Linked DNA regions of Nothobranchius furzeri. The protein of the gene in region 2 purifies or fractionates together with the protein of the main gene of each other region. This does not show direct contact. Links are inferred from orthologs where the notes say so. Each region holds a gene or a part of one and is shown on either strand. Other genes may lie near its edges.

Region 1 (3,445 bases), about 29 Mb from region 2:
AATCCATCCCAGTCAGGAACACTCGTTGGATCAAATGCAGCAGCTCACTGTGGACTAAATTATGTAAAAAATGACTTCTGTGGAAAAGAAGCAGTTGTTTGGTATCACACCAAAAATAAAAAAAAACACAATTTGGTCCTCTAATGGATCCAAATAAGGAAATAATGACGTATTTTTTATTTTATCAATAGAAAAACCATTTTCACACATTTCTTTTGCTGTACGTGGATCATTAAAGAAGCGGTTTCGGTATTTTTGCTCTTCTGCAACAGAAATCATGGGAGTGGTTTCTTTATCACAACTAAAATCAAATCTAACCTCTGAAAGACAAACAGCAAAGAGTTTTTACTCGAGCTTGTTTTAGTATCTTTACTATTATTATTATTATCTGAGATGGATCTCAGCGGAATACTGAACCACATAAAAGGACACCTCAGCGTTCGGATGACAACGATCAGCTGGAAACCAGAATACCGGACAACAGGGATTGTTTTTAACCCTTTAGGCGTCCGATGTTGGAGGAACATAAACCCATGTCCACGCCGAGGCTAGGCAGCAGGTGTGTCACAATCTGACATCATCTGGAAAAACACCAGCACTTCCTAATGCTACCATCAAGCCGTTTTCATTTCACAGGCTTTTTCTTGGGCTTTTGTTTGCGTCTCTTTGCAGGATTAGCAATAATTCTCTTTACTTTGAGAGGCTGTAGAGAACACGGGGAGGGGGGACTCTCTGTGTGCTTCTCAGATTCACTCTCCAGTTTCCGTTTCTGGCCTCTTGGGCCATCTTCCTGACCGGCAGGATGTTCAGGAGTCCCTCTGGATGATGCATTCTGTAGCCAGGCAACATCCAGCGGAGGCACCTTTGGTTTGATGGCATCAATGACATCTGTAAACACCTGGTTGTCTTCAGAAGAACTCCGTCTGAATCCTAGAGCGAGGACGCTCTTCAGCCCCAAAGGTCCCGACACGGTCTCGCTCAGCCGAGGCACCTGACAGGCCGGCGCGCCTCGGGTCACACTCAGGGCTATCAGGTGGTTCATCATGTGCTGAGGCTTGGCGGACTTACAGACCAGCAGCAGCTGGAGCTCGTTCCTCTCCAGAGCCTTGGTGACCTCGTTGATGCCGATGGCCAGCTGTCGTCTGGCCGCCACATCTGTCCAGCCGTTCCTGATGGGATCCCCCACCTGACTCACCTGGGGAGCAGGCTCTGCTTTGGAAAGGGAGCCCCCCTTTTCCCTCTTCTTCCGTGGCCGCAGCACTTTGACCTCCTTTTTCATCAGACCCGTGGAGATCAGTTTGTCCTTCGTGGTTTTCAGGATGAAATGCGCATGACCCTGAGGAAGCGAGCTCCAGCCTACACTCAGTGGAGACGTGAAGGAGGTCTTGGCTGGAACGTGCTTTCTGGCTTTCTTTGCGGACTTTTCTTTGGTTGCCATGTCTGAAACCAGAACAAGAGAAACTGGGATAAACAAACCAAACGAATTAGGAACTTTCTGGTAACTTCAGGATAAGTTATCACACTTATTTACAAATGTATGGTCCCTGAAGTGTGTGTTGGCGTGCTTTCCTTCAGCAGGCATCACTTAGGAGTAAACTGGATCTTCTGGCTAGCTCCAGTCCAACCTACCACGGCAGCCTTCTTTTTAAATTAAAGTGTCCAGCTTCTAAATAAAAATCCGTAATCCTTTCTCTGTGTCCTTAATGCGTCATAGTCCAAACTCTTTTCAAAATCAAACACCAACTTCGCACAGAATTCCAAAAACGAGGCGCAACCGGAACCGGAAGTTGTGGATGAAACGTTTCAGCGGCAGACACCAGAATCCCATAGATATGCATATAAACACATCTATGAAGAAACCCTCCCAAAACAGCCAAATCAGTTCCGTCTTAAACACAAATAAACTCAACAATAATGGGGTTGAAACCCAAAATGAACTTACCTGTAATAATGTAGACGCAGATTTAGAAGTAGCGTACACGTTTGAGACCAACACCACGGGGAAAGTAGGAGGCCGCCATCTTGGTTTGAATGCACAAACTTTATTTAAAAATGATAATCTGCTCCCTCTAGCACTGAAGGAACCGCCTCTATTGTTACAAAGCGCTTTATGAAGCAAAAGTTTCCCTATAATACATACTACACGTTTCTCTGCGCGAATGCGTTTGTGCGCACGCGCGTGTCCTGCAACCAATCAGCGCTCAGATCTGCAGCTCATCTCTCCGTCCTCCCCCTCCTCTGCAGCCCTCAGCTGATAAATATTGCTTTGGTCAGCTGTGGTGCAATCACAACTGCTCTGGACCTTCCGGAACCGACACCCCAAGCTGCACTCCGTGTCTGCTTCCACCGAGATGGCCCTCGAGGTAAACTCCTGACATTTCTGCTTTTATTTAATTAGTTTAGCTCATTTGGGTCTTCATGACATCATCTCTAGCAGATGTTTGGCATCATCCATCTTTGGGAAAAAAATAACAGGTTCACTCGGTTCCTCCTGTGGTTTTTGGCCCTGATGCTGAATGAGCATAAGATTTAAATTCTAAATAACTAACAAGATTGTGATTGTTGACAGAGACTCAGTTTTTAATGATAAATCTGATAATAATAATAAGGATAAAAAATAATAAATTATGCATTTTTTGGAAGGTGGGGTTATTCATCCTAAAGAGGGCAATAATGATCAGCTCTGCAATGTCCCAGATTCTTTGTAAAGCTGATTATTCATGCCGGCACAAAAGCACCAGAGTCTTGAATGAAAGTTCTTTGTTTACGTCCAGCTTGAACAAGTTTGTTTCCCAGGCATTGCTCTGGGCTAGACTACTGTGTGTGGAGCGGTTTTCTCCTTATTGGTGCCTCTTTTCTTTTTTGTTTGGGATGGATTAATCTGTCTAACCTGACAGGTGTTAACAAGAACGTTAATTCTGAACATTTATTTCTGTTGCAGGTAGAGTTTAAGAAGGTAGCGGACGATGTGAAGAAGGTGAAAACGCAGCCTACAAATGAGGAGCTGCTGACTCTGTACGGTCTCTATAAACAGGTCCTAGTCGGAGACGTTAACACTGGTGAGCCGATGCACACAAATGGATTGATTTCCATTTGATGCTTTAAATTCTGACCATTTTATCGTATTCTGTGTGGTCCGTAGAAAGACCAACGGTAGACCCAACAGGAAAAGCCAAGTGGGATGCCTGGCAATCCAGAAAAGGTAACAGTGAATGAATGCATTTCAACTTTATTTCAATTTTGCATTGATTGTGACCACTCAAACAGAAACGGATTCATTCTGTCTTGTTTCTAACTGGAGTCTTTTTCATCGACTCAGGAATGTCCAAGGATGATGCCATGGCAACGTACATCACAGAAGCTAATGGAATTATCAGCAAATATGGGATGTGAGGTTTTTACGGAACAAAGAGGCTGGAGGTGAAGCTGCTGTTTGTCTTGTGTT
Region 2 (4,355 bases):
TACACTTTGAAGTTCTGGGAGAAGATCCTGGGCACAGAATGGAAATCACTTATTGTACAGCTTTAAGAATCCTAATAAATAAACCCTGAGATTTTATGCTCTGTTTAATCCAGATATTACTGCTGCAGAGCCGACTTAGGCTACAGCATCTGCGCCAGAGAGGCCAAACGAGGACCCAAAAATGGCCAAAAGTCTAGTTTATATCAACAAAAAGGAACTATGCAGTAAAACTCACAACTAAATCAGATCACGAGTGGTAGCACACAAACTAAACTACAGAGACAGCAAGGTGCATGCAGCAGAAGAAACCATCGGGTCGTTTAAGGCTGGTATCGCTCATAGACACACAGCTAGTTGTTAGACCTTTTAGGGCAACGAAGAGTTCACTAGCCTGGCTTCAACGTGATTCTACAAGAAATAAAACAGACATCAACAGGAAAACCAATCAGAGTGTTCCCAGTGGTTGTTACAGTAAGAAGTAGCAGGGACCTACACACATGCTTTTACAGGAAGAAAAAGCTTCTGCAAACCAGAAGAGTGGTTCTGATGGTGGAAGAGAGAGGAGCATACAAGGCAGGTGTTTCCACAAATTAAAGCTGGTGTAGCAGCAGCCCTACACATCATGGAGAAATAACCAGGCTGTACTGTGACTCACAAATACAACCTTTGTCTCCTAAAAACCCACCGTACCTGCTTAAGGGTGGGATGAGCCCAGATCCACAGCTGTCTCCCCCTGATCCCCGGTGTTTTGGGTCTCCAGAGTACGGTGACGGGACCCAGGGGCTGGCAGGGGTACTGTCCTATCCTGTAGATGGTAACACTGACCTGTCTGCGCCCTGACAGACACAAGGCTGCAGCAAACGTAGGACCTGGAAACAGACTCCAGCTTGTGACTCCACAACAAAAATCACCACTGAAAGCTGAGACCACAGGTCCACAGGTGGTTAGAGAAAACCCAGAAGGATGTGCTTACCCGCCTCCTTGCTGGTCATCTGTGACAGAGCAGCCAACAGCTCGTCTTCTTCACCCTTCAGCTCGATGCAGCAATAGTAAGACAGGTCCTGGTAGACAGATTCACACGGCTCGATACCTTCATAAACTAACTACAGAAACAAAAAAAGACAACAGCTACCTGCAGGAGGCAGTGGCTGCTCATGGCTCTGTAGCACGACCGATAGCATTTATACGTGGGTCTGTCCCCGAGGCAGTAGCCCCACTTTTTAACCATGTGGAAGCGCTTGGCGTGCCAAATGTGCGTCTCCAGCCAAATGTTCTTCCTCTGGCGTCGGTTGAAGTCCAGCAGCAGGTTCCCGTGCCGTCGGCGAGCTTTTCGGCTTTTGCTTTTAGCCGGTTCTTTCTTCTTCTTTGAGCCAGCCTGGAGGCTTTTCTCCCGCTGTGGTGGGTGGAACAGAAGGGGTAGTCTAGTCTAGGAAGGCAGCTTTTAAAGGAAAAACTAACAGAAAACAGGAAATGTCAGAAACCATTCTGTCAGCCACGTCTCTCAGCCTGCGGGGCAGACGCTTTGTGTTGTGGCTCATGGCCCGTCGCCTCATGTGTTTAGGCAGAGCCTGAAAAACATGGCTGCTGCACGCCGTCTGGCTGACGGCTCTCAGCATGGCCTTCACCTCGGCGGCTCTGGCTCTGGCAAAAGCTCCACCTTGACAAAGAGAAAGATGGACGAAATGCATTAGTTTTAGCAGCAGCACGGTACAGTGGGAGCTTAGAAAGAGTATGTCGGGCTCTGCTTTCACCAGTGATGTACTTGGGCATCTCCTTAGAATAACCACCACCATATCTCTGATGTCCTCGAACCCATCCAGTGTCTTCAGGTTTCTTCCTCTCCTTAGAGGATGGATGTCCACCTTTTGAGAATTTCCAGAACTTTCAGAGTCAGCACATCCAGCAAGTTAGAACAAAGCTTAACTTTTCCCATATGATTTTTATTCTTGTGAAGCGCCTCATGACTTTTGTCTTGAGAGGAGCTGGATTAAAGATGGTTTCTTCTCCTGCCTAAACGAGTACACACGTGTCTGATTCTTGTAGTTTCTCACCACCAGGGTGAGCTTAGGGCACATCAGCTGGGTGTGGGCACCATCAGAGCAAGCAACTACGCATCACACCACTGGCTCATCCCTTGAGTTCAGGAGCATTTGTAATGTCTGGGCGATTCATTGGGGAGGTGTAAGTGATACAGTTGACTTAGCTAAACAGAACTAAGTGTCTCAGTAAATAACAACAAATACAAGAAAATGCTCTGGGGAAAAGGTCACACTGAGAAGTTTAGACTGGCAGCTTGTGAAGCATGTGGTGATGACAGCTCTGAACCAAAGTAACACCTCTACCCCCTTATCCATCTGGAGATGCTTTAGATGACCTGGGACGGATATTTAACGTGAGTTGCACAGATGTGGTATAAAGATGAACACCCGTGGCCCCTTCTCTGAGCCACCATGCTAGCTGCTGCCCTGCACACAGACCGGTTACCTGAACCATGTCCTCTGTTCTGGGAGCCGCCCTCCCCGTTCACCCCAGAGGGATACTGAACACTGGCAGGCTGATTCCTCATCTTCTTCTCTCGCATTTTGGCTTTAGCTGCGGACATTTTCTGTAGAAAGAAGAAGGAAACGCTGTTTTAGCACCACAGCTGGAACCACAAACACATACAAGACGGTGACTGTTATGCTAGCAACAAACCCTCGTACAAAGTTGTAACACCGAACCTTAAATAAAACACGTCTAAGCTACAAGTACATATAAATTATTCATACCAGTAGTGCCTCGCTGTTTTCCAATAAGATTAGCAACACGTTTCTTGGACGCTCTCTTCTCTCTGTTAGCTAGCTACCATGTGAGTTTGCTTCATGCGAGTCCGTCTCACAGGCTCATGGGAAATGTAGTGTACAAACGCAATGAGCGTTCGTCTTCAGACCGAGCTTCAGACCTAGATTTACTCCATACATTTCAATTATGTATATACACGACTAAAAACCAGAGTATGCGGTGTTTGTGTTGCAACTATCATTAATACCCATATTAACATGGTAAAATAAAAACTACATGATTGTTTGTGCGTGTGTATCAGAATGTTTACGGTAACGGAAGTCTGTTGGTCTCGTGTCGTCAGCTGTGAGTTTAGTCTGACCAGAGAAATGTCTGCTGTGATCAGGAGAATCATCAGCACCGCTAAAGCTCCTGCTGCCATCGGCCCATACAGGTGAGAGGAGTCTGATGGACCAGCCGTGGACCTGGGCTGAGGTGGGACAGGATGAGTCATGTCTTCTAGGGGACAGTCAGTGGAGTGTCTAGGCTTTAGAAAGGGTGGCCCAGGTGGGGCACCTGTTAATGCATGGGTGGCACCCAAAGTTCTGTTTCGTTCCCCCCTGACTGCCAGTGGCAGTAAACAGAGTGGATGTATCTCCTCGCGCTCTGCGCAGGTCGAGTACTAATGTAAACAAAGTCACGCACGTGACACGTAGCGCACCTGGTCGCGAGTCTATAAATTACGCGCCGATAGCTACGTTCGGGTCTCTTTGATCTTCTCGCTGTTGGCCTGGCGTGCTTCGCTGGTCAATCGCTCCGTAAGTCCGTGATTCGGATCTTATCGGTCTTGAGAGGTGAGTACTGTTTTTACTTGGCGTCTTCCTGCCCGGGACCGTGTGGTCGGAGCGCTCGAAGGAGCCCTCTGGGGCGGTGGATTGACGCTGTTATTTATCTGCTAATTGTTACCGAGTGCGGGTGGTGCGGCCGGCCGGCGCCGTTCGGACCGCCGCTGCCGGCTCGGATAGGGCTCGCTGGCGGTCGCAGGATTTCCCCTGTGGAAAGGGGAGGTGAGTGCGGCCGGCGAGCGCTACAGGTAAGTGGGGCTGGACGTTCTGACAGTGGTGGTGGCACGCTCAGATTACCTAGCCGACACACACGCACGTGTGTTGTTTTACAACGCTACCGGTGAGTGGGGCTGGACGTTCTGACCGTGGTGGTGGCACGCTCAGATTACCTAGCCAACACACGCACGTGTGTTGTTTTACAACGCTACCGGTGAGTGGGGCTGGACGTTCTGACCGTGGTGGTGGCACGCTCAGATTACCTAGCCGACACACACGCACGTGTGTTGTTTTACAACTCCAGGACTGAATCGCGTTCTTCAGTTTTCCTCGAAGTCCTCGCTCAGTTCCTGTGGAGTCACTGGCGTCTCCCACACCGGTAAGGATGTTGGAGTGTAAGTCATGCGGGGCTCCCCTCCAGGTGGAGGACAGCCACGACTTGTGTCCTAAGTGCCTGGGCGTCGGTCACCTCAGAGAGGCGCTGACTGACCTGTGCATGAACTGCAGCATTTTGCCGCTGGCGGTGCGGGAGGA

What was found. Proteins that work in one complex are often made in the same cells at the same time.
Region 1: the proteins of pop1 (region 2) and rpp38 purify together in Homo sapiens (affinity purification with mass spectrometry; 3 studies listed by BioGRID and IntAct, with this or other methods). This does not show direct contact. The link is inferred for Nothobranchius furzeri from reciprocal best matches to the Homo sapiens genes POP1 and RPP38.

Annotation. Positions count from the first base shown.
Region 1 is NC_091745.1:79,260,976-79,264,420, forward strand, and holds rpp38 (ribonuclease P protein subunit p38), read right to left. Parts: upstream 2,135-3,445; 5' UTR 1,943-2,134; intron 1,668-1,942; exon of another isoform or gene 1,532-1,667; intron 1,441-1,531; 5' UTR 1,439-1,440; coding exon 626-1,438; 3' UTR 600-625; downstream 1-599. Other genes in the region: acbd7 (acyl-CoA-binding domain-containing protein 7), read left to right, coding at 2,352-2,363, 2,942-3,059, 3,143-3,202, 3,320-3,393. UniProt on the Homo sapiens protein: Component of ribonuclease P, a ribonucleoprotein complex that generates mature tRNA molecules by cleaving their 5'-ends. Also a component of the MRP ribonuclease complex, which cleaves pre-rRNA sequences.
Region 2 is NC_091745.1:50,269,135-50,273,489, forward strand, and holds the start of pop1 (ribonucleases P/MRP protein subunit POP1), read right to left. Parts: upstream 2,901-4,355; 5' UTR 2,769-2,900; intron 2,606-2,768; 5' UTR 2,603-2,605; coding exon 2,485-2,602; intron 1,863-2,484; coding exon 1,752-1,862; intron 1,658-1,751; coding exon 1,482-1,657; intron 1,394-1,481; coding exon 1,133-1,393; intron 1,062-1,132; coding exon 974-1,061; intron 870-973; coding exon 691-869; intron 28-690; coding exon 1-27. Other genes in the region: 2-iminobutanoate/2-iminopropanoate deaminase, read left to right, coding at 3,084-3,214. UniProt on the Homo sapiens protein: Component of ribonuclease P, a ribonucleoprotein complex that generates mature tRNA molecules by cleaving their 5'-ends. Also a component of the MRP ribonuclease complex, which cleaves pre-rRNA sequences.